Linked DNA regions of Tribolium castaneum. The protein of the gene in region 1 purifies or fractionates together with the protein of each later gene. This does not show direct contact. Links are inferred from orthologs where the notes say so. Each region holds a gene or a part of one and is shown in the gene's direction. Other genes may lie near its edges. The genes, in order: rept, Nop60B, Max, protein SHQ1 homolog, Polr2B, MrgBP and nop5.

Evidence for each region.
Region 2: the proteins of rept (region 1) and Nop60B purify together in Homo sapiens (affinity purification with mass spectrometry; 5 studies listed by BioGRID and IntAct, counting the BioPlex papers as one, with this or other methods). This does not show direct contact. The link is inferred for Tribolium castaneum from reciprocal best matches to the Homo sapiens genes RUVBL2 and DKC1.
Region 3: the proteins of rept (region 1) and Max purify together in Homo sapiens (affinity purification with mass spectrometry; 3 studies listed by BioGRID and IntAct, with this or other methods). This does not show direct contact. The link is inferred for Tribolium castaneum from reciprocal best matches to the Homo sapiens genes RUVBL2 and MAX.
Region 4: the proteins of rept (region 1) and protein SHQ1 homolog purify together in Homo sapiens (affinity purification with mass spectrometry; 4 studies listed by BioGRID and IntAct, with this or other methods). This does not show direct contact. The link is inferred for Tribolium castaneum from reciprocal best matches to the Homo sapiens genes RUVBL2 and SHQ1.
Region 5: the proteins of rept (region 1) and Polr2B purify together in Homo sapiens (affinity purification with mass spectrometry; 3 studies listed by BioGRID and IntAct, with this or other methods). This does not show direct contact. The link is inferred for Tribolium castaneum from reciprocal best matches to the Homo sapiens genes RUVBL2 and POLR2B.
Region 6: the proteins of rept (region 1) and MrgBP purify together in Homo sapiens (co-immunoprecipitation; 5 studies listed by BioGRID and IntAct, counting the BioPlex papers as one, with this or other methods). This does not show direct contact. The link is inferred for Tribolium castaneum from reciprocal best matches to the Homo sapiens genes RUVBL2 and MRGBP.
Region 7: the proteins of rept (region 1) and nop5 purify together in Homo sapiens (affinity purification with mass spectrometry; 5 studies listed by BioGRID and IntAct, with this or other methods). This does not show direct contact. The link is inferred for Tribolium castaneum from reciprocal best matches to the Homo sapiens genes RUVBL2 and NOP58.

Annotation. Positions count from the first base shown.
Region 1 is NC_087401.1:15,889,740-15,894,666, forward strand, and holds the start of rept (ruvB-like 2), read left to right. Parts: upstream 1-1,828; 5' UTR 1,829-1,900; coding exon 1,901-1,906; intron 1,907-2,083; exon of another isoform or gene 2,084-2,236; coding exon of another isoform or gene 2,237-2,242; intron 2,243-2,351; coding exon 2,352-2,737; intron 2,738-4,927. Other genes in the region: Hmt-1 (ATP-binding cassette sub-family B member 6), read left to right, coding at 436-538; uncharacterized protein LOC663271, read right to left, coding at 687-988, 1,035-1,174, 1,225-1,462, 1,519-1,576. UniProt on the Homo sapiens protein: Possesses single-stranded DNA-stimulated ATPase and ATP-dependent DNA helicase (5' to 3') activity; hexamerization is thought to be critical for ATP hydrolysis and adjacent subunits in the ring-like structure contribute to the ATPase activity.
Region 2 is NC_087394.1:7,771,124-7,774,396, forward strand, and holds the end of Nop60B (H/ACA ribonucleoprotein complex subunit 4), read left to right. Parts: intron 1-1,089; coding exon 1,090-1,364; intron 1,365-1,436; coding exon 1,437-1,780; intron 1,781-1,836; coding exon 1,837-1,879; intron 1,880-1,925; coding exon 1,926-2,066; intron 2,067-2,121; coding exon 2,122-2,193; 3' UTR 2,194-2,314; downstream 2,315-3,273.
Region 3 is NC_087396.1:13,930,485-13,935,211, forward strand, and holds Max (protein max), read left to right. Parts: upstream 1-1,587; 5' UTR 1,588-1,938; coding exon 1,939-1,977; intron 1,978-2,055; coding exon 2,056-2,127; intron 2,128-3,788; coding exon 3,789-3,899; intron 3,900-3,980; coding exon 3,981-4,104; intron 4,105-4,147; coding exon 4,148-4,320; 3' UTR 4,321-4,337; exon of another isoform or gene 4,338-4,387; 3' UTR 4,388-4,727. Other genes in the region: atl (atlastin), read left to right, coding at 682-804. UniProt on the Homo sapiens protein: Transcription regulator. Forms a sequence-specific DNA-binding protein complex with MYC or MAD which recognizes the core sequence 5'-CAC[GA]TG-3'. The MYC:MAX complex is a transcriptional activator, whereas the MAD:MAX complex is a repressor.
Region 4 is NC_087397.1:6,231,641-6,235,552, forward strand, and holds protein SHQ1 homolog, read left to right. Parts: upstream 1-1,743; 5' UTR 1,744-1,809; coding exon 1,810-3,072; 3' UTR 3,073-3,100; downstream 3,101-3,912. Other genes in the region: uncharacterized protein LOC657396, read right to left, coding at 281-581, 725-817, 874-1,185, 1,234-1,483, 1,672-1,713, 3,101-3,360, 3,416-3,527, 3,855-3,902. UniProt on the Homo sapiens protein: Required for the quantitative accumulation of H/ACA ribonucleoproteins (RNPs), including telomerase, probably through the stabilization of DKC1, from the time of its synthesis until its association with NOP10, NHP2, and NAF1 at the nascent H/ACA RNA.
Region 5 is NC_087395.1:24,234,855-24,238,820, reverse strand, and holds the start of Polr2B (DNA-directed RNA polymerase II subunit RPB2), read left to right. Parts: upstream 1-1,166; 5' UTR 1,167-1,305; coding exon 1,306-1,324; intron 1,325-1,382; coding exon 1,383-3,541; intron 3,542-3,593; coding exon 3,594-3,838; intron 3,839-3,898; coding exon 3,899-3,966. Other genes in the region: uncharacterized protein Rsod, read left to right, coding at 1-71, 121-676, 721-821. UniProt on the Homo sapiens protein: Catalytic core component of RNA polymerase II (Pol II), a DNA-dependent RNA polymerase which synthesizes mRNA precursors and many functional non-coding RNAs using the four ribonucleoside triphosphates as substrates.
Region 6 is NC_087396.1:22,638,148-22,642,943, reverse strand, and holds MrgBP (MRG/MORF4L-binding protein), read left to right. Parts: upstream 1-1,696; 5' UTR 1,697-2,879; coding exon 2,880-2,967; intron 2,968-3,014; coding exon 3,015-3,595; 3' UTR 3,596-3,672; coding exon of another isoform or gene 3,673-3,843; 3' UTR 3,844-3,895; coding exon of another isoform or gene 3,896-4,077; 3' UTR 4,078-4,122; downstream 4,123-4,796. Other genes in the region: Atac2 (cysteine-rich protein 2-binding protein), read right to left, coding at 3,673-3,843, 3,896-4,077, 4,123-4,416, 4,682-4,796.
Region 7 is NC_087394.1:30,826,628-30,831,127, forward strand, and holds nop5 (nucleolar protein 58), read left to right. Parts: upstream 1-1,463; 5' UTR 1,464-1,630; coding exon 1,631-1,675; intron 1,676-1,731; coding exon 1,732-1,808; intron 1,809-1,860; coding exon 1,861-3,409; 3' UTR 3,410-3,467; coding exon of another isoform or gene 3,468-3,502; 3' UTR 3,503-3,523; downstream 3,524-4,500. Other genes in the region: transcriptional protein SWT1, read right to left, coding at 2-105, 274-429, 478-625, 682-1,152; TH1 (negative elongation factor D), read right to left, coding at 3,468-3,502, 3,550-3,679, 3,725-3,865, 3,914-4,124, 4,241-4,493. UniProt on the Homo sapiens protein: Required for the biogenesis of box C/D snoRNAs such as U3, U8 and U14 snoRNAs. Part of the small subunit (SSU) processome, first precursor of the small eukaryotic ribosomal subunit.

The DNA of each region.
Region 1 (4,927 bases):
GTGTCGCGGACTTTTTTGTAGGAAATTTAATTCTCCACAACTTTGTTCCTTACACTTTTTTTGTATCTTCAACCGTATTCGCAGCGTTTGCAAAAATATAAGCTGGGACGAACATTGATAATTTTCTGCGCACCGTCGCATATTTATCAAAACGCTGGGAATACGGTTAAAGATACAAAAAAAATGTAAGGAACAAAGTTGTAGAGAATTAAATTTCCTACGCCTTCAGTTTTACTCTGCCGTACTATTTCTTTAGGTTCAGAAAATATTCGTTTCGCCTCCTAACTTATAGTCCTCCGTAGAACTGACATAATATGTTGCCAAACTTAAAAAAAATTTTTTTTTGTTATTTTTACGCATATGTCAGTGAATGTCAATATGTTGGCACCATTGCCAGCCATTCGTAAATTTCAGTGTTGCCACCCATTTTTTCAGACACGAGCACTTGATTGGCCAGGAAGGCGTGTACGCCTCCATGTGGAAGCAACAATTGGAGAGTAAAGAAAATTCAGCCGAGACTAGCCTTGAGAGGAGTTAATCCCCACCCCACCCCCCACTATTTACAATTAGTTGCCGAGGTTTGGGGCTTATTAAGTGAAAAAAAACGCTTCGTAATTATTGATTTGTATTGAACAAAAAATAAGTTGACTGTCATATCACTAGTTTAAATAAAATATTTCTATTGACTATGGTAAAAATAATTCTTCTTCGGGAACCCTCGCAAACACTTCGTTAATATTCTGCGACCACACTGTTGCCATCACTTGCTCAATGGCGGCGCCAAAGTCGGCATAAACAGTTAGGGAATTTTCGTTGATTGTTTTCATGATTTGTTGGCTCAGCTGTTCGTTACCGTTGATTATGTTATCATAGGAAAAAATCACTTTTTTCGGGTTGAATTTAAACACGTGCTCGGTCATTCTCAAGTGAGTCTTGCCTTTTTTGGTGTACCTTTCACATTTGAAGTGATTGGCGCCTTCAACATCCCCTAAAAAAAGAATTAGGCACGAGGCGAAGCCGAGTGCTTCACTCACAGAACGTGTTATTACACTTCCCTTCACCGTTTAGTGTGAAAATGAGCAACTTTCCGTTGATTTTGTAATCGGCTTCCATACGCACGACGGGAGTCAAGCTATCGTAGCTCCAATAACAACTCCCTTGCGTAAAATTAACCCTAAAATTTTTTTTCAATTTTTTTTTTTTTTTTGTTAATTTTATTGTTACTTCGAATTTTTGATCGTAGCCGAGGTGATGCCGTGAATTTTCACATTTTTGTAAACTTGCTGGAGCGTGTCCTTGGACGCTTGGCCCAAGGTCACCTCCGGTATAAGCAGTGGCTCCAACTGACTAATCCCCAAATCCCTGTTCCCCATGGCCAACTTACGCACATCTTCCATAACATATTTATCCAAACACTGGTTTAAATTAGGATCCGATTTGCGACATTTGATAATTTCGGGCGCTTAATTAATTAATTAATTAATTAAAATCAATGGTTAATTCAATTAAACGACTTACGCAAAGTTTTGGCAAAAGTTGAGCCAAAAACAAGCACCACAAGTAAAATCGCACTCATTATTCTACGGAATCAAGTCGAAAACTATTATTAAAAATGAGTTAGTGAAAAGTATTTGTAGTGTCGAAAAGTTGAAAACCTTGTAATTCGTACATAATTTTCCTAATTGCAACAATAGGCAATTAGGGAGCGGAAATTTTGTGCTAATGTGGCACAAATGAGGCAAAAACGCCCGTAATTATTGGTTTAACATTGTTTTAAACTGTTTGAATGGAAATTGGCGCCGGTTTTCGGCACGTTGGCAGCACTTTGTTTGAAGGGCCCAGTGTTTGATCAATTATTTCAATTAATTAATTCAAAGTTTGGGTTAATTGTGGCAGTGCTATGGCTGTAAGTATTAACAAAACAATCATTTATTAATGAAAAAAGCCCACAAAAAACAATTTTTAATACAGAAGTTACACAGTTGGTATTACAAAAATTTCAAGTTTGGGACGTTTTTGTCACATAAAACTTTTTTCCCGACGAATTATTTAATTTAATTATGTGTTTCGAGTAAAATTAATATAATAATTATGCTTAATTAATTAAATTACGAAGTGGGTACACTTTTTCTGGTGATTTTCGCAGTTACGTTGGTACCGCGTCCCTCCATTGTTTTTGCATTTCCTTTAAAATTGTGCATAAAAACGCAAAAAAGCCGCAAAAACCACAACCCCAATGGCTGTAAGTACCCCATTCTCCCTTATCTCGTTAAAAACACCCTTTTGCTGATAACATTATCGCATTTGTGTCGTTTTTGCGGCGTTTGCTGACCCTAACCCCACTTTCGCAGAGCGCCGCCGCTGCAAAAATCGCCGAAGTGCGTGAAACCACGCGCGTGGAGCGCATTGGGGCCCACTCCCACATCCGGGGGCTGGGTCTGGATGAGAGTCTCGAGGCCCGGCATGTCTCGCAAGGGATGGTGGGGCAGGTGTCTGCCAGGAGGGCTATCGGGATTGTCTTGAAGATGGTGAGGGAGGGGCGGATTGCTGGTCGGGCCGTGCTTTTGGCGGGGCAACCGGGGACGGGGAAAACGGCCATTGCGACGGCTCTGGCCGCCGCCCTGGGGCAGGACACCCCCTTTACGAGCATGGCAGGCTCGGAGATTTACTCGCTGGAGATGAGCAAGACGGAGGCGCTGACGCAGGCGATTAGGAAGAGTATCGGGGTGCGGATCAAGTAAGTGCTGGAATACCGGGTGACTGTGATGAATTGTATGGGGGAATTATTTGGCAATACTGCGCTTGTTTTATGAATTAAGAGTTCAGATTTATCACAAAACTGACGACAAGATCCGTTTTATTTATTTATTTATTTATTTAACGAAAAATTTTTTTCTACAAAATATATAAATTACAAAACCACAAAAAATAAAATTATTTAACAATAAATGATTAATATCAAGAATCATTTAGCCTTAACAGCGAATGTATAAAGTGCTAATGGCTTTTCAGTAGTCACCCGGTATAAAAATGTCAAAAAAAATTGAAATACTATAGTCGGTGTATTGTTGGTTGCCTATATACTAACTTCTGAAACTTTGAATTTATAGTTTTTATTGATTTAGAAATCTGTTAAAAAATATTTTTTTTTCTAATTTAGTCGTTTGTTAAGCTTAAAAAATTTTTCCCCGTGTTTTTTTTTCGGGAACAAAGATTTACAAGAAAAAAAACAAAACAGTGTGTCTCGGAATTTATTTTGCAAAATTTAGTGATGAATTCTCTAATTTTTCAATATTCAATATTCAATATTGAGGGTTATTTTAATAAAAAAATATTTTCGAAATGGAAAGAATCTACTTTTTCTATTTCGTTGATTTTCTACAACGGATTTTTTTTACTTTTGTGTGCTTCTTATTCTGTTTTTTTTTGCTTTCTTTTCATTTTTTTTGCTTTCTCTTGATTTTTTTTATTTTTTTAATTTGTTACAAGAGGTTTTTTTTCTTTTTTGTGTTATTTCTTTTTTCGTTTATTTTATTATTGATGTTTTTCACTCTCCCGTAATTCTTTGGACTTGAACCATATTTTTTAAGTAATTTTATTTTTTTGGTTTTGCGACGATTTTAATTTTTTGTTATACTAATTTTGTTTTTTTATAATATATGTTGGTAATTTAATTTTATAGTTCATTTTCAAATATAAATATGAAAACGTTTAATAAACTAGCAGGTTTGACAATAAATTACACCCGACAAGATTAGAAAAGATGGTTATTTACTTTGAAAAAAAATATATAAAATTAAAGAAAAAACTAAATTTATTTTTATGTTTAACAGTTTAACTGAAAGTTTTTTATTAGTGGTCCGTCACTTTTGGGATCGCTATATTATGTTTTGTTTTACCAGTTTTTTTTTAATTTTTTAATTTTATTTTGTCTTTTTTAATTTATTCATGGAGAAAAAAAAATTAAAAGCTTGAAAAAAATGGGCATTTGCTTTTTTAACTTATTTTTTTGGTTCACATTTATGTTTTATTTTCCACTTTTATTTAACACATTTTCTCTTTATTTTCTATACATTTTTTTGTTATTTGTTAATTAGGTTTTTGTGTCTACATATTATTTTTTCGTATTTTGGTTTTCGTTATTTCGTATCGATTTATGTATTAAATTCTTGGATTTTTTTATATTTTATTTCTTGTTTCTTGTAGGCGTTTCCTAATTTCACTTATTTTTGATTTATTTTATCAAATTTATTTTCCAAATTATTTTCGTTTTTCAATGTTTATTTTATTTTTTTAGTCTGTCTTTGTTGATTTATTCGTGGAAATTGGGAATAATTAAAAAATCGAAAAAATTACCGTTTATTCATAATGTTAAAGTAACGTTATGAACTTTAAGAGTTAAAGCGACTTCAACTTTATGAATAAACAATAAAAGTGTAAAAAAAATTCAATTTTTCAGTTATTTTCAATCTCCACAAACAGAGGGAATAAGAAAATTTTATAATTTTTTTATTTTGTTCTTTCTTTTGTAATAATTTGACCTCACTTTTGAATTTTGTTAACTTAATTTTTTGGTTCACATTTATCTTTTATTTCGCCTTTTCTCTTTCCTAAGAGTTTGCAACGATTTTTTTTTATTTTCCAATTTTATTAAACATATATTTTATTAATTTTTTTGTTTGCTCACCTTTTATTCTTCTATTATAATCATTTGTTAATTACATTTTTTCGTCCATATTTTATTTATTCTTTTTCCCGTTTTCGTTATTTTGTATCGATTTATTTATTAAATTCATTTCTACAACATTTTTTTTTTGTATTGTACTTTATTCTTTTATTCCTTTCTTAATTTGTGCTTATTTTTGATTTCTCTTATTATAATAGTGTGCTTTGTTTACCTTTTTTTCTTTTTCCGATTTCTCCTAAA
Region 2 (3,273 bases), on another chromosome or scaffold:
CAAAATTTAGAGAAACAGTTACGTGTTTAGCTCAAACATTGTCTGAATTTCGCTCGAAATTTGTACTTTTTAACTTATCTTTATAATTTCGTAAAATACTTGTGACATTGGGTCTCAAACTTGTCACAGAAATGAAGAACACGTCTATTTTAGTGAATTTTTGACACAGTTTGACAAGATTTTACAATAAAAAACAGAAAGTTTTAACTCAAAAACGTGATAAAATATTCGAAAAAGTATGTTTTGACGAAGGCAGAAGATTGTCAGTTTCATCAAACTTTCTGGTTTTTGGCTTGTTTTTACCAAAAGTTCGTAAACCAATCTGAAAATCGCTTAAAAAGACAAAAACGTCATTTTTGATTTATAATTTAGTATGTTTTCGTACAGTTTCACAAAATGTTTCAAGGAAATCACCTAAAACGTGCTAAAATTCTTGAAAAATAAATACTAAATAAAATAAATAAAGAAATAATGCCAAGTGTACATTTATTTCTACTTTGTATTTTTTTTTCTTATGTTCTCGTGGAAAGTTTGACCTTCAATTTTTCCCAGCTTAGCAAAAATTAAAATACTAATTCCCCTATTTTTTTTCAAATTGCATTAACTTAAGGGTATAAATTAAATGCAGAGTATTTTATTTAAACAACAAGTATTTTTGTTCAGAAAAAATGATAAATTGATAAAGGCATGGTAAAAATAAGAAATGTATAGTAAAATAATAAATGTACAGTAAAAATAATAAATGCACAATAAAAATAATAAATGCACAGTAAAATTAATAAATAGTAAACAGTAAAAATGATAGATGCTAGGTAATGAGCGTTTATTATTTAAACTGTGCAAACTGAAATAGATACTGTGCATGGTTTACTTCTCATTTAAATTTTTTACTGTGCAAAATATTAAACCACTCATTAATGTGCAAAAATTAATTAAATACACTGATCATTTATTATTTTTTACTCATCAAAATCGAATTTATTACTGATTAGAACAGTTAATTAGAACAGTTTGGATGCCTAAAGGGCCTAATTTTAGTCCTGTCTTTTTTAAACTTTGAAAATGTTTAATTATTATGCATTATTTTAGGCGTGTTTTGGGTTAGTTGCGAGGCTGGTTCCTACATTCGTACAATGTGTGTTCATTTGGGTTTGGTTTTGGGCGTTGGAGGCCAAATGTTGGAACTTCGAAGAGTTCGTTCGGGAATTCAGAGCGAACAAGATCAAATGGCCACAATGCATGATGTTTTAGACGCTCAATGGCTTTACGAGAATCACAAAGATGAGAATTACCTGCGACGAGTGATTCGGCCTTTGGAAGGCCTTTTGGTCAAACACAAAAGGATAATTATGAAAGACAGCTCGGTAATACATAATTTCCCACTAACTTATCAATTAACAAACAAAACTTTTCTACAATAAATGGCATAATTTTAGGTAAACGCGGTTTGCTATGGAGCTAAAATTTTGCTACCGGGTATTTTACGCTATGAAGACAATATTGAACTTAACGAAGAAATTGTTATTGTGACCACTAAAGGGGAAGCCATAGCACTAGGGATTGCACTGATGACCACTGCAACAATAGCCAGTTGTGACCACGGAGTTGTCGCGAAAATCAAACGTGTGATAATGGAACGAGACACTTATCCAAGAAAATGGGGCTTGGGACCACGAACAAGCCAGAAAAAAATTCTTATTGCAAAAGGACAGCTCGACAAATACGGAAAACCGAACGAAAATACGCCCAAAGAATGGCTAAATAGTTACGTTGATTATTCGTAAGTGTTTTTAATTTTGCGCAAAGTTTAAAAACAATTCAATAATTTTTTTCCAGTGTTAAGAAAGAGGACACCAAGGACGATGAAGATGATAAAAAAGTAAGACGTTTTTTCGTTTTATGAGCAATTCATTGTTTGTTTTCAGCGTAAATTAGCGGACACGTCAATGCAGTCCGATACAGCGAGTCCGAAAGAGAAGAAGAAGAAACGGAAGAAGGTCGAAGGTGAGGAAAGCACTGTTGAAGAAGCGACAGCAGTGTCAGAGGAAACTGCTGAAGATAATGGGGTAAATGAGACAATCAATTATTATTAAATTACCTATTGCACTGTTATTCTTACAGGAGGAAAAAAAGAAAAAGAAGAAAAAGAAAAAGGATAAGAGTAAAGATAGGGAGGAAGAGGAAGCGGAATGAACTATTTTGTTTTGCATTTTTATATTGTAGCTCTACAATACTACATTAATAGAATTAAGTTTAAATTCTTTCTAAGATAAACACAGTCGTGTTAAGCGAAAATAAATGCAATTTTATCGTACAGGCTTTGATTTTTCCAGTTTGATGTAGTGGTACAAGTGCAAGAAATTTGTAGGTATACCGGGTGTCCAGTTTGGTAATTCTATATTTTTTTTGAAATGGTACATTTTTAGTAATATTTATGACACTGGTATTTGAGTAATGGTTCATTTTTTATTTTTTTCGATAATACTCCATCTTTCAAGTAAGTATAAAACAATGAAATCAAAAAAATATTGATAATGGTTTTACTTTTCTGTTTTATATATTTTTTTCATAGTCTGGAGGACTAGGTTTTTTGATATAAACATGTACTAAAAATTGTTAAAAAATTGTCACATTTAAAGAAATTAATAAAAGTAGTTGCCTAGTGTTTATAACAAATATTGACGTTAACAATATTCTTATACAGGGTGCTCAAAAACTGGCGCACCAACTCAGTGGTACGTTATTGAGAAGCAAGTACAGATTACGGGAAAAATGTTGAAAAAATTCCCAAAGTTATATTTTAAAAAATCTGGAGCTACAAACTTATTGTGTTAACTTCTTTAGTTTTCATTATTTTTTTATATTTTTATGTTTCATACCAGGTAATCGTTCCGTAACAAAACGATGAATAATTATTTTTAAATTTACTATCAGATTTTAGCAGTTTTTTTAATTTAAAAAAATTAAAATTCATCCAAAAAATCACAATGTGTAGATGTGCCAACACTGGGAATTATTTCCTAGGAAACCGTTTCAAAAATAATTTATTTTTATTGTTGCTCAAATTCTATTGCGATCATGACTGTTAGACAATGTTGCCACATATCATTTATATAAAATCCATTATTTATCAATAACTTTAATACAAAGAATTTTTTTACTATTTTTACCTTTATATGTTACCAATTCTCTACCACACACCATTGAGTTGGTGCGCCAGTTTTTGAGCACGCTGTATGTATTGCAACTAAGTCGCAAGTATATTTGAAAAAA
Region 3 (4,727 bases), on another chromosome or scaffold:
TTAAACTTTTATTAAAAGTCTGCGAGATCATATCTCTATAGTCAACGGTTTAGGCCCCAAAGACGTTCAAAGACCCTAACCGACGCTTTCATTTTATTTTACCGGTGGTTAAGTAAAGTTATTTATACCTAAACTGTAGAAGATAAAAATATGGTATCGCGGACTTTTTTATAGGAAATTTAATTCTCTACAACTTTTGTTCCTTACACTTTTTTTGTATCTTCATTTGTATTCCCAGCGTTTTGATAAATATACAACGGTCCGCAAAAAATTATCGCTTAGAATAATTATTTTGCGTTTCACCTTATATTTTTGCATTGTTTCCGTCTTACTATTGACAATTAAATGCACAATCTGCTTTTATTTTTTGTTTGCTCTGTGTTAACAGTTATACAAATACAACCATTTTTTCAAATTCATTGCTCTGAAAACTTATGGGGGACGAGAACGTTTTATTTGTACGTCGTTTCATATCCTAAGCTTTAGATATCCGTTATTTTAGTTACACATTTGTTGTGCTATAAGTGCTATAACTAAAGATATCTTCTTTTTGTAGCATGCCTATTTTAGAAAGAGAAAAGAAAGAAAACGTATGTACTAATCAATTCTAGATACTTGCATGGATTTGACTAACGATTTCGATGTTTTGTTGTGTGAATCGTAATATTTTTATTTTTTCAGTCTATGAAACCCGTCGTACAAGCTTACGTCGAGAACGGTATGCAGCAAATGGCTGCCGAAGTAGCTGAAAGAACTGTCCTAAATGCAACTAATATCACAACCAACGGCAAGAAACAGGCGTGATAACATTCCCCCGTCTGTTACAATAGCACCCTAAAAGCATCGTTACATATTAACGCGTTAATCGTCACGTGATTTGGATTGTTGTGGATTTTGTCTTGCCATATATTGTGGAACATAGTATGTAACTTTGCTGATTATGTGATATCTTGGCAATGTTGGTATTATTGTAATTTATTTGTACATAACGCTTCTAAAAATAATACAATTTTATCTATTACGTAACCATTTTATTGTACACTGTTATGTAAAGTTTGCAAAATTTATTACATGTTCCATTGGTCAATCAGTTTCTCCGTTTAACTAGAGTAGTAATCGTGAACAGTACTGACATTGCAATATAATTCACCACCCAAGTGCCTTTTATTAACCCAATAATTGTTTTTACTGTTTGTCTTGTGATTTCGTATTGTGGTGTCCAAGTCTCCAGTACACTAATGATAAAAACGCATTTTTATTGTTACTAGTGAATAGATAAGACAAACTGAATTGAATGTTACTATTTCCAAATCAAATTTTATAACAATAAATATTATTTTTTTTAGACTGTTACGAACCATGTTATAATTTATTCAGCTAGATATGAACAATTTTTTTAGCTAACTGCTCAATTTATTTTTATTTTTTATTGTAGTTTAATTGAACTGTATTTGGTTTCGGTTATGAATAAATTTATTATTTTTATTTGAATTTTTTCTCCGCCCTTTTTTTGGTTCGCGTCTGGGCTAAATCACGTGCGCAACAGAACACGTGTAACCCCAACAAGTTGCACGCCTCAGTCGGTAATTGACGTTTGTTTTCTCAGCTAGGGTCGGTGCAAAATTGGGTACAAATAAAACGTCAGAAAGCTTATCTAAATCACACTTTTCGGGAAAAGTGCCCCAGAATCGCTAATAGAGTTCGGTGCTTGACGGTTTAGCGCCCCGTTTTGTGGAAAGTCGCCCCTATTTTGGAATTTTGTGACAAAGAACTGGACTTTCGAGTGGTTCTAGTTGGCCAAGTATGACAGGTCACGCACATTGTGCGACTCACGTCTAGTTTGCTCGTGTTGTGACATTTTGGGAAAAGTACAAGTCGATGGTTGTGTATTACACCTGAAATAAGCCGTTTTCACCTCAGGACTCTGTACTTCTTACAATGAGCGATGACGATCGGGATATTGACGTCGAAAGCGATGTGAGTAGTGTTGTTTATACACAAAACACCACATGGATCAATATTAACATTGATTCATTATGTACCCCCCTATTTCAGGAAGGTGACGATTCGGATTCCCGGCAGCCAACCCCCAGCAGACAATCCACTGGAAGCCAGTATTACTCACAGGTAAATTAATTGGCCACCAGTTCAGGGACGAATTTTCGTACTTTCTAATTATTTCGTTTCGTTTTTTGCACCTCAATATTCTTGATTTTTTGGTTTGTCTTCATTTATCGCAATGGAAATAAACACTGCTTTCCACGTAATTTTGTAATTATGCAACATCTCGAAATGAATTTACAATAAACAACTGCTGTTAGTTTTTTTATGGAAAAATTAGCTGTTGGTTATTATTTTGCAAGCTTCCGTTATTTAAGCACAATTTAATCATTTTAAAGAAGAAAGTCTTTATAAAATTTACTGTAGCTTTGAGCAACTGTATTATGCTTATTTTTTAATTATTTTTGCAATCGCAAAATCATTGTCCGTAAGGATTACTTTTGCATATAGAATATTTTTTAAATACAAAGCTGCAAAAACGTTCTTGAAGCTTAAAATCTTTACATTGTTTTATTTATTATCGCTAGATGTTTTGCACTTTTAAAATCACTAATTTAAATTTTCAGTAATCTTTTCTCTTCTGAGAATTTATGTAAATACAAATACATACAAATAATAGTACTAATAACGAAATCGTTCTTTTTTTCTTCGCCGTGTTATATTGTTTTGTAGTAAATTGACTACTATGCATTTAAATGACCTTAACGATAATTATTAGTCAAAGAATAAAAAAAATAACACTGTAGAGACTAGAACTGCTGAATTAAAATTTTGTGTCAACGTTGTGAGTCATATTAATATTTGCAATTAAACATTTGGTGACGAGGTTTGGCGGCAAAGAATAAAAGCTGCTTGATTTTTTTTCAAATTTGTCAATACATTGATAAGTTGATAACAGAAGTTTGTAGTTTCGAACGAAATAAATTCTTTTACGAGCCAGTTTGCAGAAAGCGGAATTAAAATTTAATTTAGAATTAAACTACATGATTCGAATTAAGTTGCCATTTATTTTGCATTATTAACCAACGTCACGTTAAATGAAAATATATTTTTTTATTGAAAAATGTAGCTGCTATAGAAAGTCAGCATTTTTTTGTTTGGAAATTATAATTTCCGCATAATGCGTGTAGTTTGACAAATCTTTGATGTCAAACGCAAAAAAACGTTTGAGTTGTAAGTAACTACATAAGCGTAAATACGTCGGAACTATTTAATAACAATTTGTTTTGAATAAATGCATTTTAAAAAATCAGAAAATAAAAATATTAATTTTTATAAATCATTTAAAATAGTATTGTTTTACATAAAGCCATGTTTAAAATAAAGAAAACTTATTTCACACGAAAATTATGTGCCTTAATTTAATTTTGCAAAACAGTTTATAAAAAAAATACAATGATAATAATTTGTCTTTTGACAATTTCATCTTATTGGTGCATAATTGTCTTTAAGAAATGGTTTTTGTTAAATTGTTTACTATTTGAAAAACTAAACATGTATCACAAAGGGGGGTGATGCCATTTACAATTTTGAAGAGGTTGGTGCTACAACTTTTAAAATTATAATAAAAGGTGTTCCTCTTCGTTTTGTGCCTATTTCAATTTTCCTAGTGTCATAGTCATTGCTGAGTTATTGCATTATGTAATTTATTTGGTCAGACACACAATTTAACCAGTAAAAAAAAATAAGGGTCTGCTTTGGTGTTTATTTGGTTGTATGCTGTTTAGGCTGAGAAGCGGGCGCACCACAACGCGCTGGAAAGGAAACGGCGAGACCACATAAAAGACAGTTTTAGCAGTTTGCGAGACTCTGTTCCTGCTCTCAACGGCGAAAAAGTGGTACGTCTGTCCGATTTTTCACGTTTGCTGAACGATTACTCGTAAGACAGATATCGTGGCAATTGTATCTTTGCTTTTTAGGCCAGTCGAGCGCAAATTTTGAAGAAAGCTGCAGAATATATAGTATTCATGAGGAAAAAGAACCATTCCCATCAGCAGGATATTGAAGATCTCAAGAGGCAAAACAGTCTTCTGGAAGCGCAGAGTAATACATTTTCTCAGACTTGTTTAAAATATTTTTTTAATAGTTGCAGTTACAGTTCGTACCTTGGAAAAGGCCAAAAGCACGGGTTCTTTTGGAGGGGAATCTTCCGACGGTAAAGATTCAAATTACAATGAAACCGAATCGGATACTTCAGACTTGGAAGGGTCTGTTCAACCCAGAAGGCCAAAGAAACAAAAAATTGGATCTTACCACTAGCAGAAGTTGAGCTGATGGTAATTGAAACTCGTTTCGTTTTTACTTTAACACTTCATGTTTAACGTAGTTAGGCAGACTAAAGAAGAAACGAGATTTGAAAACTTGACTCTTCTTAATGCGGTGAAACCGTCCGCATATTTTTGTCAGTACAATTCAGTAGTTTGTAACAATTAGTGAAGACAAAGTGGATCTTCAGTCATCTCTAAATGTCAAAATAACAATGTTTTATTAAGTTTTTTTACAGTTGTTTTTTTGAACCAACTACATTTTACGGATTAAAGAGCTATTGTGTATAAAAATATAAATATTTGTAGTTTATTTTCTTATTGTTTGTAGTTAAATCACAAACTCACTTTGTTTGTATGTTAAATGTAAGTTTATTAAATTAATAAAAGTATGTTCTTGAA
Region 4 (3,912 bases), on another chromosome or scaffold:
AAAGTATCACCTAATCACAATTTGAACAATAATTTGATTAATTGGCAGTCGTGACCTATTCTAGATTCGTGACGAAACCCTAGACAGTCTCATGAAATTCGTTAACTATACTCACCATAGAGCAACAATTTAATCTTAAATATTCTAAAATGGTAACTTCATAGACTATTACAACGTTAACCACCTACCGAAAGAAACTAAAATAAATAAGTGTAAAGTTTGTCGAAAAATCCAGATCTAAAATTAGTCCCATGCAAGTCTTTGTACCTAAGTTACATAACTAAACGTTAGTTGGTGGCTCTAGGCCGCAAATGATCGACTTCATAACACTAGCAGCGGCTAGAGACGCATACGGTTGCCACTCTTTGCGTCTAGTACCGTCTTTATAATCAGAAATGCCCCGAATTATGATAAAACTATCCTTGCAATTGCCAAGAACCGACTCTATAACAGCGTCAAATTCGCAATCGAACGCCAAAGCCCCCATTTCAGACGCAAACTTCTGTCTCAAGCGGTCATCGCGGACGATCAGACGGCCTGAAGCTATGGTGGATAAGTGGATGCGAGGGCAACCCTCCTGCCTAAAATGCAAACATTCGAAACCACAAAACAACAAGGAAAAAGTGAGTCGTGTAGAACTAATTACGAAGTGAGGAATTACTCAACTAACTGTGATTTAATAAATACTGTGACTACAAAACGGTGCGGTTCTACAACCACCCACCTAAGAATTTTTCTCTTAATCGTTCTAGTTCGACTCGAGAGTGTTTTTCTCGGCGTAATCACCGGTTTTCTCCGAATTTCCGGCTTTTTATAACTAATTCACACAATTAAATTCACGTAATTGATAAGTTCAGTTAACACAATACAAACCTTTTAATGTTTTTGTCCTGTGGCACAGGATGGGCCACTTCGATCAAGTCCCTTTCACCGATAGTCATGTACAGTTTGTCGGTTTCCACACTCGGGGGGTTAAAATCGGTCTCGATTTGCGAACTGAGAATATTTAAACCATCCTTGAGATATTTGGCCCACGGTGAAACCGTCCCATTATCACCCGAATCGGACGACTTTAACTGTGAGGAAATGTCTTGCAAAATGAAGTTATTGGGGCGGTAGTGTTTGACCTCAAAATCGTAACCCTTATCGCTGACTTTGGCCGTCTCGCAATAAACGTACACGTCCCTAAAGTTATCAATTAATGCCAGTCATTTTTCGCATCAAATGACTCACTTATTATCGACGGGATGCGAAATCACGACGTCTCCTAACCGGACATGCTTGTTATAGTCGGTGTAATGGGGGACTCCCCCACCCACACCGACCAAAAACACATAATCTACCTTCTGGAACGTCCCCAAAAGTCTCGTGGTTGTGTTACCAGCAGCGGTCATTGCTTCCCGAGTATGGCCCACTGAGGGCAATTTCGTGCACACAATACGGTGGGCCCCAATGTTCCCCAAAGTGTAAACATTGGATTCCCCTGGAAAATCACACAGTTACAAGTGCGCCAAGACAATGGCAAACACCCCGTGATAATTACAGTGTTAGTGAACAGTGGAAAGCATTTTGCATACAAATGCAACATTCACAAGTGATTTTCGTGATCTATGTACAAACACAAAATGGTGACATCACAAGTGATTCCCCCAGAACTTGCAATTATCTTACCGAAGCGGGCCCTCGGTTTGTCACCCGTGGGGCTACTGGGACCTGTTCAATAAAATTGCTGTTTAAAATTGGCGCTGTTACATGTCAACTGTCAAACACACCTAACCTCACAAACCAAACTTAGTGTGTGTTTTCACGATGATAACGCCGCGATTTAAGCTAACACAAACCGAATCAACCGTCACAATACAAATCCGAGCCCCGTACTGTAATTTAGGCGAGTTGGAGGTGACCGTCGACGACGACATCTTCATTTTCTACACCAGCCCCTATTACCTGCGCTTACACCTGCCCGGGCGCCTCGTCGAGGACAATTTCAGCGAGAGTTCGTTCGATTCGGACTCGGGACAGTTCAGTTTCACGATAAAGAAGGCAATCGACGGGGAACATTTCCCCGATTTGGACCTGATAACGAAACTATTGACCCCCAAAGTCGAAGTCACCGAAGACAACCGCAAAATTACTATCGTGGCCAATGAGGGAATCAAATCCCCGGACGAGCTGAACGAAGAGTTTGGGTTCGCACTCTGCGGCAAGGAAAACTTCAACCATGTCTCGGCCGAATTCAAGGACGTGTTTGAGGTCGACCCTCGCGAAGTCAATTTGGGGCAAAGGCACAAAATGCGGGTGCAGTTCGAGCAAGGCAAGTTCAATATCGATCACTACTTGAGCGACTACATCGAAAACGAGGAAATTTTGGAACTGATCGCGCTGGAAGCGCCTTGGGACAAGTTAAAGTCGGATGATGTTCAGTTCAGCGACCAGGAACTGGACTTCCTTAAGGATTTACCGAACAAAACGTACAACTTGAGCGAGACACAAGTCAATTATTGCCACTGTTGTCTCGTTGATATTTTATACGCGTATTGTTACGACCGACGGACGACCCAATTTGAGGGCACCTCTGAGTCGGGTTGGACCATTGTCAAGTTAGCCGCGACGTTTTGCTGGCTTGATGTTTTCCAAACGCCTAAGGATGCCCTAGTTAGTGCATTCCGGCGGAGTGTCATTTACCCGCTTTACCGGAATTTCGAACTTAACCGAACCGTTTTAACCGATTTGAGGAAACTACTCGATTTGGGCGAAAAATATATAATCAAGTGTTTGATTGAAATGTACCACATTTTTTTGACTGGCGATTGTTGCCGTTACATTCTTAACAATTTGTTCATTAAGGATTATATCATTTACATCATGAAGTGGGACAGGACGAAGTGGAGAGAAGTCGTTGAAGAAATTAAACAAGTGACGATCGAGAAGAGTGACCTTGGATTGAATCTCCAAGAAATCGAAGACGACGTTTGTCGTAATTTGGACTTGAACAATTTGCAAATCAGAGATGATGATTCGGACGACTTTAGTGATACTTCGAGTGACGATAGTTCAACCGAATCTGATTAATTCTATTGTCAATAAATTAGTGACTCACCTACTGTTGTATATCTCACGAAAGTCTCCTTGTTTTCAATCATCGCATCCACGGCCAATTTCTCACAGTACTGGGCTGTGATTATGGCGATTGTCGGTTGTTTGGAGCTGACCATCGTCGGCATTTGTTTCACGATAATTACTTGAGTATCGTGGGACTGTTGGCGGGTAAAAGCGCCATGTTCCATGGCTTTGACAATGTTGCTTGATTGTAAATCGGCAATGTGATGGGCCACTTCCTCCTCATCCCAACCATTTTCCCTATTTTTGTTTTGTTGATTTGTTTTTAATTGTAAAAATCAAGCCAATGACTTACTTTGCAATGTCTTGGATTGTGATAGGGTTCGGATAAGACGATTCAATTATTTCTAAGACTTTTTCGCGCGTCAGTAACACTACATTTCCCAATGAGTTTTCGTCGGCTGATACTGAAAAAATACAAATGAAAACAACGAAAATAATTTATAGTTTCCATAATTTATACGTCCTTGATATAATAATTAAATGAATGGTGCTAAAAACAATCGAGCGTAATGATTATGACGTCAAGTTGCCACAAATAGCGTTTCCTGGGACAATATATGGAAACTATGTATTGACATAATAAAACAATTGTGAAAGTCAACACATAAATTATTCATTCCACTATAATCTGTTACATATTATTCGGGTTAAAAAACTAATTTGATGCATTTTTTAGTTGTTTTGTTAAGTTGCAAACAATAGAACTACAATTCGCAATCTCAATCTCAAACCTGAGTTACAAACAGGTGCTAGCTCGATTTGGAGGTAACCAGGTCGCGCTATAAAACC
Region 5 (3,966 bases), on another chromosome or scaffold:
AGAACACGCGGTGTGTGGCCGGGGGCTACATCTGGAACCCCTATTTCACCCAACTGGCCGACCCCCTCAATGTATATTTTGCTTTTTTTTTAATTTTATAATATAATGTTCTGGTTTCAGGGTGATCTTTATCGGCAAGAGTGCGGGCCTGAGAACCCGCTCAGGTGCCACGTGGGGGACCTGTCGGCCCGTTTGGGGACCATCGACATCGGGCTCCAGCGCAAAGTCTTCACCGATGCGAATTTCCCGCTCGAAGGCGACGTCACGGCAATCGGGCGCTCCATCGTCATCATGAGCCCCAACAGACGTCCCGAACGTTACGCCTGTGCCAATATCGAGCCCGACTATGACATAATCAAGTACGCAAACATCGAAAAGCCCCCACGTTTTGTCCTGTCGCAGTTTATCGAAGAAGTGCGCGAAATTCTGGGAATCCCCGACTGGTTTTTGACCGTAGATTCGCGCAAAACCAAGTCTTTGCACAGCGACGCTTGCGTCCAGCTTTTGCTGCATTTTAAAGGACCGCTAGCTAACCGATTAGAGCAGGATTTCAGCCGATTGCTGGCAAGTGGGCGTTTAGACACCCCCACATTGTACATTCCAGGGTTTATTAATACGAAACGTAAGGTGAAAATTGCGTACAAGCAGTGTGGAGTACAAGACCCCAACGAGAAGAGTAAGTTTATGGATTAGGCGACAAAAAATGAGTGTATTTTGCAGGTAAAAAACGGACCGGATTTTTCTTTGCACGCTCAGGAAGCAACCCAGCCAAATTTGCTCACAGTCTGATTGTAGTGATAGTTTTAAGCTATTTATTGTAATGATATGACTGTTCCTAATAAAAAAGTAATATATTACCATGGAGTTTGAAATTTAGCGCCAATAATGAAGTCACGTGGTGCAATCCACAAAAAATCAAAAACGCAATATAATTAAAAAATTGGACTTGTTACCACTTACCTGACCTTTAAGTCACATTACAGATAATTATTAAATATTTTTTTGGTCGAATAGTGTAATTTAACATCGTATCTTGAAAATCTGGAGACTTTTTTGTTGTATGGTTACGTAACACTTCAAGGTCATTGCAGGAAAATAAAAAATTGGGCCGTATTTAACAAGTTTTTTATTTGTTTTCCAAAGTATTGTGTTTGGGGCTACCCCCCGAACATAAAATATTAATTTATTTCACAAAATAAGGGTTTTCTTGGGGTCCCCATACAAAGTCAACTGACACTTGACAGACGCTCAAAACTTGTGTTTTGTGCGTCTCATTTGTGCCCCATTTTTTGCAAATAATCAGCAATGTATGAACAAGACGAAGGTACGCAATCCCCCTTGAGTAGCCCCCGAGCCATTTGTAACAAAAACCGGCTTTTCAGACCAATTCGACGATGAAGAGTCTGAAGAAATCAGCTCCGAGTTGTGGCAAGAGGCCTGCTGGATCGTCATCAACGCCTATTTCGACGAAAAAGGCCTCGTCCGGCAACAACTGGACAGTTTCGACGAGTTTATCCAAATGTCGGTGCAACGAATCGTCGAAGACTCGCCCCAAATCGACCTCCAAGCCGAGGCACAGCACACAAGCGGCGAGCTTGAAAACCCCTCTCGGTATTTACTGAAATTCGAGCAGATCTACCTATCCAAACCGACCCATTGGGAGAAAGACGGCGCCCCCTCGCCCATGATGCCCAACGAGGCCCGCTTGCGCAACCTGACCTACTCGGCCCCCTTGTACGTCGATATCACCAAGACCATAGTCAAGGACGGCGAGGACCCCATTGAGACCCAGCACCAGAAAACCTTCATCGGGAAAATCCCGATTATGCTCCGATCCACGTACTGTCTCCTCAACGGTCTAACCGACCGCGACTTGACCGAACTCAACGAGTGCCCCCTTGACCCCGGCGGCTACTTCATCATCAACGGCTCAGAGAAAGTCCTAATCGCCCAGGAGAAAATGGCCACGAACACCGTCTACGTCTTCTCGATGAAAGACGGGAAATACGCCTTCAAATCCGAAATCCGCTCCTGTCTCGAGCACAGCTCGCGCCCCACGTCCACCCTCTGGGTCAACATGATGGCACGTGGGGGCCAGGCGATCAAAAAGGCCGCCATCGGGCAACGAATCATCGCGATCTTGCCCTACATCAAGCAGGAGATCCCCATCATGATCGTGTTCCGGGCCTTGGGGTTCGTGGCCGATCGGGACATCCTCGAGCACATTATTTACGACTTCGAAGACCCCGAGATGATGGAAATGGTGAAACCGTCCCTGGACGAAGCGTTCGTGATCCAGGAACAGAACATCGCACTCAACTTCATTGGGACCAGGGGGGCCCGGCCGGGCGTCACCAAAGAAAAGCGTATCAAATACGCGCGAGAGATCCTCCAGAAGGAGATGCTGCCCCACGTTGGAGTGTCCGATTTTTGCGAGACGAAAAAAGCCTACTTTTTGGGGTACATGGTGCACCGGTTGCTCCTGGCGGCTTTGGGGCGCCGCGAGCTGGACGATCGGGATCACTACGGTAACAAACGACTGGACTTGGCGGGGCCCCTGCTTGCGTTTTTGTTCCGTGGGTTGTTTAAAAACTTGATGAAGGAAGTACGGATGTATGCCCAGAAATTTATTGATCGGGGCAAAGACTTTAACCTCGACTTGGCCATTAAGACTAAGTTGATTACGGACGGGTTGAGGTATTCTCTGGCGACTGGTAACTGGGGGGACCAGAAGAAGGCCCACCAGGCCAGAGCCGGTGTCTCGCAGGTGTTGAACCGTTTGACTTTTGCCTCGACTTTGTCGCACTTGAGACGTGTTAATTCGCCCATTGGACGTGACGGGAAGTTGGCGAAGCCCCGACAGTTGCACAACACGCTCTGGGGGATGATTTGTCCGGCGGAGACACCAGAAGGGGCGGCTGTTGGTCTGGTGAAAAATCTGGCCCTCATGGCGTATATTTCGGTGGGGTCGCAACCCTCTCCAATTTTGGAGTTTTTGGAGGAGTGGTCGATGGAGAATTTGGAGGAGATTGCGCCGTCTGCCATAGCCAACGCGACCAAGATTTTTGTTAATGGTTGCTGGGTGGGAATTCACAGGGACCCCGAACAGTTGATGGCGACGTTACGCAAGTTGAGGAGACAGATGGATATTATTGTGTCGGAGGTTTCCATGATTCGGGATATTCGGGACCGGGAGATTCGCATTTACACGGATGCTGGACGGATTTGTCGGCCGTTACTAATCGTGGAAAATGGGACTTTATTGTTGAAGAAGCGCCACATTGATATGTTGAAAGAGAGGGAATATAATAACTACGGGTGGCAGGTTTTGGTGGCTTCAGGGGTTGTCGAATATATCGATACTTTGGAAGAGGAGACTGTGATGATTGCGATGTCTCCGGACGATTTGAGACAGGAGAAGGAATACGCGTATTGTACCACTTACACACATTGTGAGATCCATCCAGCTATGATTTTGGGTGTTTGTGCCAGTATTATACCCTTCCCGGATCACAACCAGAGTCCCAGAAACACATATCAAGTATTTGTTTTGGTGTTGTTTGAATTTTTTTAGTAATTAATTTTTTCCTCAGAGTGCTATGGGCAAGCAAGCCATGGGTGTGTACATCACCAACTTCCATGTCCGCATGGACACCCTTGCCCACGTCCTGTATTACCCCCACAAACCGTTGGTTACAACCAGATCAATGGAATATCTCAGATTCAGGGAATTACCGGCTGGGATTAACAGCATCGTGGCCATTGCGTGTTACACCGGTTATAACCAGGAGGATTCGGTTATTTTGAACGCGTCGGCCGTCGAAAGGGGATTTTTCCGGTGAGTATTAAAAAAAAGTAATATAGTAGAAATAAAATAATTTGTTATTTTGTGCTTTAGATCTGTGTTTTACCGCTCGTACAAGGACGCCGAATCGAAACGCATCGGCGACCAAGAGGAGCAGTTCG
Region 6 (4,796 bases), on another chromosome or scaffold:
CGTCCGGTGCCTCCTGCAGCAAGCCTTCTTCAAAATGGCTGGCACAAATCGCTAACAAGGCAATAAGCAGTATGTAATACAAGCCGCGATGGCTTTTTACGGCCGCGATTAGGTAAGAGTGCGATTTAATGTCTTGTATTAGAGTGTGTGACCTTCGCAGCTATGCAGGTACCTGCACTGCTTGTCTGCAAAGGTACAGCAGCAGGTGTGGCGTTTCCAGCGTTTGTTGTTTCAATTGCCACATCCTAGTCCCACTTACTTATTTTAACGGATTCCGAGAATGTCGCCGTTTCTTCTCCTCTTCCGTCAAGTGCTCGCAGACTCTCGACATTCGCATGTTTTCAACTTGTATAATATCAAAACAGTCATGGAATTGGTGACAACGACCAATCACGCGCTATTGCTTTTGCGCTTAGCCAATCGCACGTTTTTCTTCCTTTCTTACACTTTTTCGCACGACTGTACCAGTGCTGGGCTTAATTTATGCAATGGTACCGTTGCACGCCAATGTGCAAAAGTTCAAACTTGGGCATCCATAAGCAAGCTCAAATTTAAAAAAACTAATTAAAAATTAGCTCGTAACTTTATACACATCCAAATATAATCGCTGACAACGTATGCACCTCCCTAACACAGGTAGGTATTTGGCAAATACTTGAGATTAAGTTATCTGTTTTTGGCCATTTTGCACATTTTTGCCATTTTACTCAACAGAGGAGGAGATACACGATAAAATAAAAAAATAAGAAAAATTTGAAACAAAATAAATATAACAAAATACGTAAAAATAAATATCTGTTTAAGTTTTATAACTGACTGGCTTTTTTGACTTTTAATTTTTCTATGTCACGTCCTATTAAGCGACATCAAAGGTACGGTTTAATTTAAACCCAGCTTTAAACAATTTTAAGCTTCACGTAGTTCACTTGACACTCTATATGTATAATAAGTGTGTATTTCATCCAAAGTTTAGCTCCGCTTATTATAATTATTGACAAAAAATTGTTTTATTTCGGATTGTCATGAGAGAAGAAGAAAGTTAGATTTTTTGTTTTTTTTTGCGTGGAGAAACTCCAAAGTGCGCTGTCGTCTTCATTTACAGCCACTCAATAACACAATGGCAATTATTGACTTTACTGTACAATCCTCGGGCAAAATCGCAGCTTTCGCAAAAAATGTGCAATTTTAATAAGATTTGTGTTTTATCGCGAGATCCGTGTTGGATAAAAAGCAGAGAGGAATGCCCTGGAAAATGAGGGAAAGGCGCCGGATTGCGGCGATTTGGGCCTTAATGGCCTGTTTATTGTCATAACTGTGCGCATAATGGGGTACGATTTGAATTTTAATTGCACAAGTGACGTCAAGTCATTAGACAAGGGAAACCGTTTGCTGGCAAGGCTAAGAATTGAAATATTACAGTCACAGTCGGCTTGACTTGGTGAATTCCGACACAAAAAGACGCCTTACGGGACCTCACAGTCCTCAGAAATGCAACTTTTTCAACGGATAATAGATAATAAAAAAATCATAAATTTATTGCAAATAGGACAACGAACTTTGGTAAAACTGAATGTGGGAAAAAATTAATTATAAGGTGCCCATCCCTTTTTAATAACAAAGCAATCACAAACCTATAAATAGGTGAGTTAAGAGCCCCTCGAGCCAAACAGATGTGAGTTTGCTTACTTTTTAATAGTTATTTGTAGGAGCTGCAAAATGACTACAACTCCAATATTTACCGTAATGTAAATTACAGAATATTTCGCGTACAAACATCTGCTGTTGACTTTCATCGATAAAAACCATTTGAAACTAAGCATACAAAGCCACCCGGACCCTTCCGGGGCCAACAATTCGAATAGTAATGCGGCGAATTTACTGAATCGAAATTATTCCACTTCCATTTCCAAACAATCGATCGGGCATAATTATACGACACCGGGGGTCGCAGTGTCAACACGTCCATAATCACAAGTCACGGTTTATTGCCCTCTTTTCGCCCCCTTTCGGAAGTGAAGGTCCCGGGGCCCGTTTAATTGCAAAATAACCAAAAGCAGCGTTACATAAAAGCTGGAGCCTCCAGCGTTCACGAGTTCAGTCATTTTTGGCCGTTTTTTCCTCCATCTCTGTCTCGATCGATTCTTGAAGGCAAGGCTGAACAAGGCAACGCTGGATTATATACCGGTGTTGTAGAAGAGCCGCCTGACAAGATACCAGGCAATGACCGCAACCAGAACGTTGAACCGAAGACTCCATTTCACCGGAGCGGCTAATTCAGTTCCGGGATGTCTTGTTTATTTATTTGGGCCCCGAATCAACGCCGGGGACCGGACCCACATTGCTCACAATCATTCCAAGCACGGCCCACACCCGAAGCGAATTCCGAGCTCCACAAGTCCGGCTCTGTTCCCGTCTCGGACTTTTCAGGACGAAAAAACGTGATTTGAATCAAATTGCGCCAAAATTTGACAAGAGCACCACGCACACGGCGCCAAATTCCCCAAACCGGCAGTTTTAAATTGAAACTTTGGACAAACTCTTCAGTAAATCATTTACCAACATTGTAGCTCGTGTTTTTAATAACTATCGGTACTTTGACGAGCTCAAATTAAATTTTTTTTAAGGAAAAAGGAAAATACGGGATTCAGGGTCACAAACAAAAAAACGTGTGTCAAGACTTGAATGCATTTATTTTGCAAAAAAAAAATGTTGAAGTGTTCTAACAACATTCTAATGTAGTTGATAATACATCTGTGGCCTGTAAAACAATAATGACTAAAAGATTAATTAAAATTTCAAATTGACCGTGATGGCGGCAGTGGCGCCCTCAAACAGTCATTTGTCAATTGGCGTTTTAAATAATTTAATTCCGTTTTTAAATGATTAAGGGCCCCATGGACGAGATCGAGTGGAACGTGGCGCACGAGGGGCAGCTCCTGGAGGCCATGGTGGGGCACAAGCCCGTCGGTACGTCCCCCACGAACCTAACCTAAAAAACTGAAGCCCCCTTTCAGGCGTCAATAAGTACTTCCAAATGGCGTGCATCTGTGACAAGTTCGCTGATAGTTGCCAGAAGGAGATCAACTCGGACAAGGTGTGGGCCCACCTCGAGACAATGTACAATTTGGAAGCTTTGGATGAGAGTGAGTCGATTCCGTTCCCGAATAGTGAGAAAGAGTTCACACTTCCCGATTCCGACTTCGGTTCCCTCATTGTGAAGAAGGAAGAGGACAAGAAATTGGCGCAGAAAGGGCGCGAAACGCCCAAGTCGCTCAAGGAATTGCGAAAAGATGAAAAGACTCCTGTGAGGAGCAGTAAGGAGGTGCCAAGGCGTGATAGTAAAGACAGTAAGGACAAAACCCCAGTGAGTGCGAAAAAAGAAATCAAGAAAGAGGCTGAAAAGAGTAAAAGTAAAGGTAAGAGTAATAGTAGTACACCAAGGGAGGAAAACAAGGCAAAAGCGAAAAGTGACGACACACCAAAACTGACGAAGCGCCCTACTAGAGGCAGCTCTAAACCTGACGATTCCAGTTCGAGTGGTAAATCTAGTCCAATCACAGTCACACCACCAGTGACAAAAAGGCGACGCATTTAGTTTCTTTCTCACTTTATTAAAATTAATAAAAAGTGCCTCAATAAATTACGTAAAACACGATGCAACTCGGAGCAACATCACCTCTCAAGGCGGCAGAAAAACGCATGTTTCGATTCGCTTGTCTCGCGTAAATACTTATCATAAAAATTCAAAACGACTGCTTCCACCTTAAAACCGAACTTTTGGTACAAAAACAAGGCCGGGTTGTTGATGGACACGTGTAGTGTGATATCTTTGCCGAGACTTGTCTGAAATAATTAATTAACCAACTAGTTTAATAAAAATCGACTTTTCAATTACTTGGATTAAGTGATACAACATGAACTTTCCAATCCCGACGTTTCGCCATCCTGGCCGTGTAAAAATAAAAGAGACGTAATTTTCGGTGTATTTAACATTGGGGACGAGGAACGCAAACGCCACTATTAATTTTTTGTACAAAACTACGCAACTAAAATCCGGATATTGCAAACTTTCAGTTACTGCAACAAAAAATTAAATTGTGTTGTAACATTTCGGACACTTACGATCGATTCCTGGCCAAAAAAAGTTGTTGCAGAGACTGTTAATGGCAGGTATGTGCTCAGGTTGGACGTAGGTGTAGTCAATAGGGGCCCTTGGAGGTAGAACGTAATTTTGTGTTTTTTCGTTTGCTTTCATTTGTATCTCGGCCATTAGGCGTAGCCAGGATGGATAAGTTTCTGTATCTCTTCGTATGTAAGGTTTTAAATAAATGCTGCTGTAAGGTGAGAGAATTAGTTCTTTTCTGATACCACCCATCAACCTGACTCTCATTTCGCTTCCTTTCTGCCTAAACGCGTCTAAAATTATTTTTGGAGTAAATTCTTAAGCCCTGGGACTATGGGGGACCAAAATATTTGGTGGCATGACGAAAAATCGAGCAAATTTTAAGCGCAAAATAACCTTTTGGAATTGGTACTTGGGCAGATTTTTTTATTCAATTATGACCTTTCTTAACTTAACTTAATTTCTCAACTTTTTCAATAAATCAGAATCTTTACAATATTTACAAAAATCTCGTCTTGCCTCCTAGCTTTAGTCCTGCACACCTCTCACTTGACTTACTGCTAAAGCAAGTGTTGTAGTGACAAAACGGGTCGAGCAATTTCACAGACTCCTTATTTTGCTCACTTGGGGGCTTATTACGTGGCTGAGCTTCGCCCAAATTTCGCTCGTTTTG
Region 7 (4,500 bases), on another chromosome or scaffold:
CCATATTTTCATATTTTTCTAAAACTTGCATACAGCAAGCAATTATTTTGTTATCTTGATTTGCACCTACACTTTCCTGTTCATTAGCTTCCATTAGTGTCTGCCCTGAAAAAATAATTGCTATTACTTTTGTCACTGCTTCCTTATCCAATGAAAAAAGTACCGTGAATTTTTTGTTTACTAGAGCGACTCATGTTAAAGAATAAAAATAAAGTTCAATGGTCATAATAAAAAAATGCAAACACTTCTACGTGAAACATTGTTTCAGTATACCTTTCATTCTATTATGTTTACTACTCATAGTTTTTTCTATTAACTTGATGGCATCTTGAGCTTTCTGTCTGAGGCTACGTTTGTTTGAATCGCCCTTTATAAAGTCTAACTCTTCTGTAACAATCCAGGGAATGAAAATGACTGGCTCCCTGGGTCCTATAACAAGTGTGATAAATATTTATCCATTGTTACACATTTCTTTACCTTTAACAGCTAATGTAACAATGTTAGCAATTATATTCAGCTCTGATAAGAATATATTCGTGTCAACCACAATATAAAACTGACAAGAACTCGTAATTTGTGAATTTAAAGTATTATCACTTGTGCTTTTGGACTCCTCAATATCAGTCTAAAAAGACAATTAACTAGAATATTAAACTGAATAATTAAATCAAGAGAGTATACAGGACACCATTCCATATCCTCTTCTGAAACAACTGCTGTCTGTTGAAAGCCAACAGCAAATGGATTTGGAGATTCAGTGGTAAACACATTCGTTTGTGTTAGAAACTCTTCTTTAAAAATGAAAGGAGTTCCAGGTTCACTGTTCGAACATTCCCCTGAACTCGAGGCACTTTCCTTAATAAACAGTTTTGTAGACACTTCATGTTGCACTGAATCAGTTGGTCGTTTCCGCACACAATTCTTGTCTTTAAATTTTGGTACAGATTGAGCAGATTTTGAAACTTCTTCATTTAAGCTAGTCCTAAGCCTCTTTAACCTTTCATTAGCTATGTTCTTTTTCGGCGTAACACTAATGGTACGTTTCGTTCCATGTTTTAAATGACTATCCTCTTGAACAATTTTTTCCGGAAAAATTTTAGGATTCCTCTCATTTTTTCGTTTGGCTACGAGGACTTTTCGTTTGTCTGACATTTTAATTTTTAGCAAAAAAAACTTCTTTTAATTCATTTTCAAATAACAATTTTCTGTTTTCTCGCAAATCAGCTGACAACAACAACAAAACGCCATCTTAACTTGATCACGTGATATGTACAATGCACCCGAATTCGACCTGTTGTTAAGATCGACTTAACCGAATGTAGGTGAAACTGAAACTTTTTTACAAGTAACCAGTTAACGCCAGTTACTAATTACAACTCCCACACATACTAAAAAGAACTTGGGTTTTTGTAAACTGGTGTCAAATAATCTTAAATCTGCTTTATTTAGATTTACATTGGAAAGGCACGTGGGGGAAAGAACCAAGAGTTGGTAATTCTTGGGGAATTCGTGCGAGTCGACAATCTCGCCGACGCGCTAGACCTCATGGTTTCTAATTGTTGCCGGTTTTTATCGTTAATATTAAAAATTGGTGGGTTTTCATATAAATTGTTGTAATACAAAGTGAAAAATGTTGGTCTTATTTGAGACAGCGGCAGGTTACGCGCTGTTTAAGGTAATTCTGCAGTAAAGTTGTTGACAAACTTAACCTCAAATTTTCCATGCTTTCAGCTTCTGGATGAAAGCAAATTAAAAGAAGTTAACAATTTGTACCATGAATTTGATTCACCCGAGTCGGCAGGAAAAATGTACGACCTGTCCTAGTTTCAAAATGCAAACTTATTAGTAAAATTGTTTTAGTGTGAAGCTGAAACATTTCGAGAAGTTCAATGATACCACTGAAGCCCTGGCTGCCACGACTGCAGCCGTCGAGGGCAAAGTCTCGAAAAGCTTGAAGAAGGTGCTGAAGAAGCACATCGACCAAGAATTGCAGGACAAGCTGCTTGTGGCCGACGCCAAGTTAGGGTCTGCCATTAAAGAGAAGTTCAATTTACAATGCGTTTCGAATACAGCTGTCCAGGAGCTGATGCGGTGCATTCGGTCGCAATTGGACAGTTTGATAACGGGGTTACCTAAGAAGGAAATGACCGCGATGGCGTTAGGTTTAGCTCATTCCTTATCACGGTACAAGTTAAAATTCTCGCCTGATAAAATTGATACAATGATAGTCCAAGCGGTTTCGTTGCTTGATGACCTCGATAAAGAACTCAACAACTACATAATGAGGTGCCGCGAATGGTACGGTTGGCACTTTCCCGAGCTTGGGAAAATAATCACTGATAACGTTGCGTTCGTCAAAACTGTTAAAATCATCGGAACGCGTGATAACACCGCCAGTTCTGACCTCTCCGACATTCTCCCCGAAGAAATTGAGGAGAAAGTCAAGGAGGCAGCTGAAATATCAATGGGTACTGAGATATCCGACGACGATATTTTAAACATTCAGAACTTGTGCGACCAAGTTGTAGAAATTTCCAATTATCGCACCCAGTTGTACGACTATTTGAAGGCCCGTATGATGGCGATGGCCCCAAACCTGACAACGTTGGTTGGGGATTTGGTGGGCGCTCGTTTGATTTCGCACGCTGGGTCTTTGATAAACTTGGCCAAACATCCGGCCTCCACGGTGCAGATTTTGGGGGCTGAGAAGGCGCTATTCCGAGCCCTCAAGACCAAGAAAGACACCCCGAAGTACGGGTTGATCTACCACGCCCAGTTAGTGGGGCAAAGTAGCACCAAAAACAAGGGGAAAATGTCTCGAATGTTGGCGGCTAAAGCAGCCCTCGCAACTCGAGTCGATGCTCTAGGCGAAGACGGGAATTTCACGCTTGGGGCGGAGCACAAAGCCAAGTTGGAAGCACGTCTTAGAATTTTGGAAGAGGGGAATTTGAGGAGAATTAGCGGGACGGCGAAAGCCAAGGCCAAGTTTGAGAAATATCAAGGGGTTTCGGAAGTTCAGCAGTATCCTGCTGCTGCCGACTCGACGTTACCTTCGACTTCGAAGAGGAAGAGGTCAGAGTCGGAGCAAGTGAAGGAGGAGTTGAACACGACTCAGGAGACTCCCAAGCAGAAGAAGAAAAAGGTCAAGACGGATGAGACCAATGACAGTATCAAGGAGGAGGATGAGGACAGTGGTGAGGGCCAGAAGAAGAAAAAGAAGAAGAAGAAGGCGAAAGAGGAAGCGGAGGAAGAGGTGGAAGCGGAAGTTAAGGAAGAACCTGAGGTGACGCCTGGGAAGAAAAAGAAGAAGAAGAAGTCCGAGAGCGAAGCTCCGCCTGAAGTTGTTGAAGAGCCAACAAGTGGAAAAAAGAAAAAGAAGAAGAAGAGCATTTCCAAGGAAGATGAATAATTTAGCGGAAGGTTTTTTATTTTTTACAATAATAGACATTCTTATTATTAAGGTGCTGTTATACAACAGCGGTGTAATTTGCTTTGCAATAGACTAAAAACAAACAATAAGAAATTGATTTACCACGTTTTCCCACTCACCGATAAATTCAGACACGGGGTCGTTCTCCCCATCTCCTCTCATTGTTCCCGTAATTTCGTCATTTTCAACCATTGGCATAAATAAGTGGACGAATTCGGAGCTATAAGGGGGCCCGATGGTCTCCAAAACCTACAAAAATTGCATTTTCCGGTCATTTTTAACAAAGTAACTTACTTCCGTTACAAAGTAACGAATCAGGGATATGTCCGTGTCGCCTTTTTGCCAACACTGTTTTATGTACTTTACAACGGGTACCACACATCCAGCACATAGCAAATTTACCATTCTGTCAAGGACCATTTTGCGCATTTCAAGCTAACAAAAAAAAAACTGAAAAATATCGTAAAAAAATTGATAACTTACTTGGACTAAAATTTCCAGTTCGTCTTGCTTGGATTCAAACAACCTGATTAGTAAGTCGAGTACTTGATTATGGAGAAGAGGGTGACAAGTAACTACTTCATCCAAGAGCGCCAAATGAATTGGAGTGTGTTCTGTTGACAATTTAAAGTAACTTGCTTCGGTAACAGTGCACTCAACCCAACGGATAATTCCAACAGAAACGACTGGATACCTAAAAAAATAAATATAAGTTTCTTAGTTGACAATGTTTTTGATAATGGTGATTTACCGACATTTTATTTACAAAATTTATTCAGTTTTTATTAAAATATCATCTTAGAAACTTACCTGAGACACTGATACAGCGTTGCAAGTTCTGCCATTAGCTCTGAACTCCCTTTATTGGTATTACAAATATTGTGGACCGTTTCAATTGAATGAATAGTCGCTTGAAGTTCATCTTTATTGACCACTCTTTTTTGCCCTTTTTTGGCTTGCATTTCATAGACACTTGCTGCATAAGCTAACAAATGGATATATTTGGGCTTGTGGTCGGGGTTGAGTTTTACTCCAGGTTTAAACAAGGCATCAATCAATAATTCTGAAAT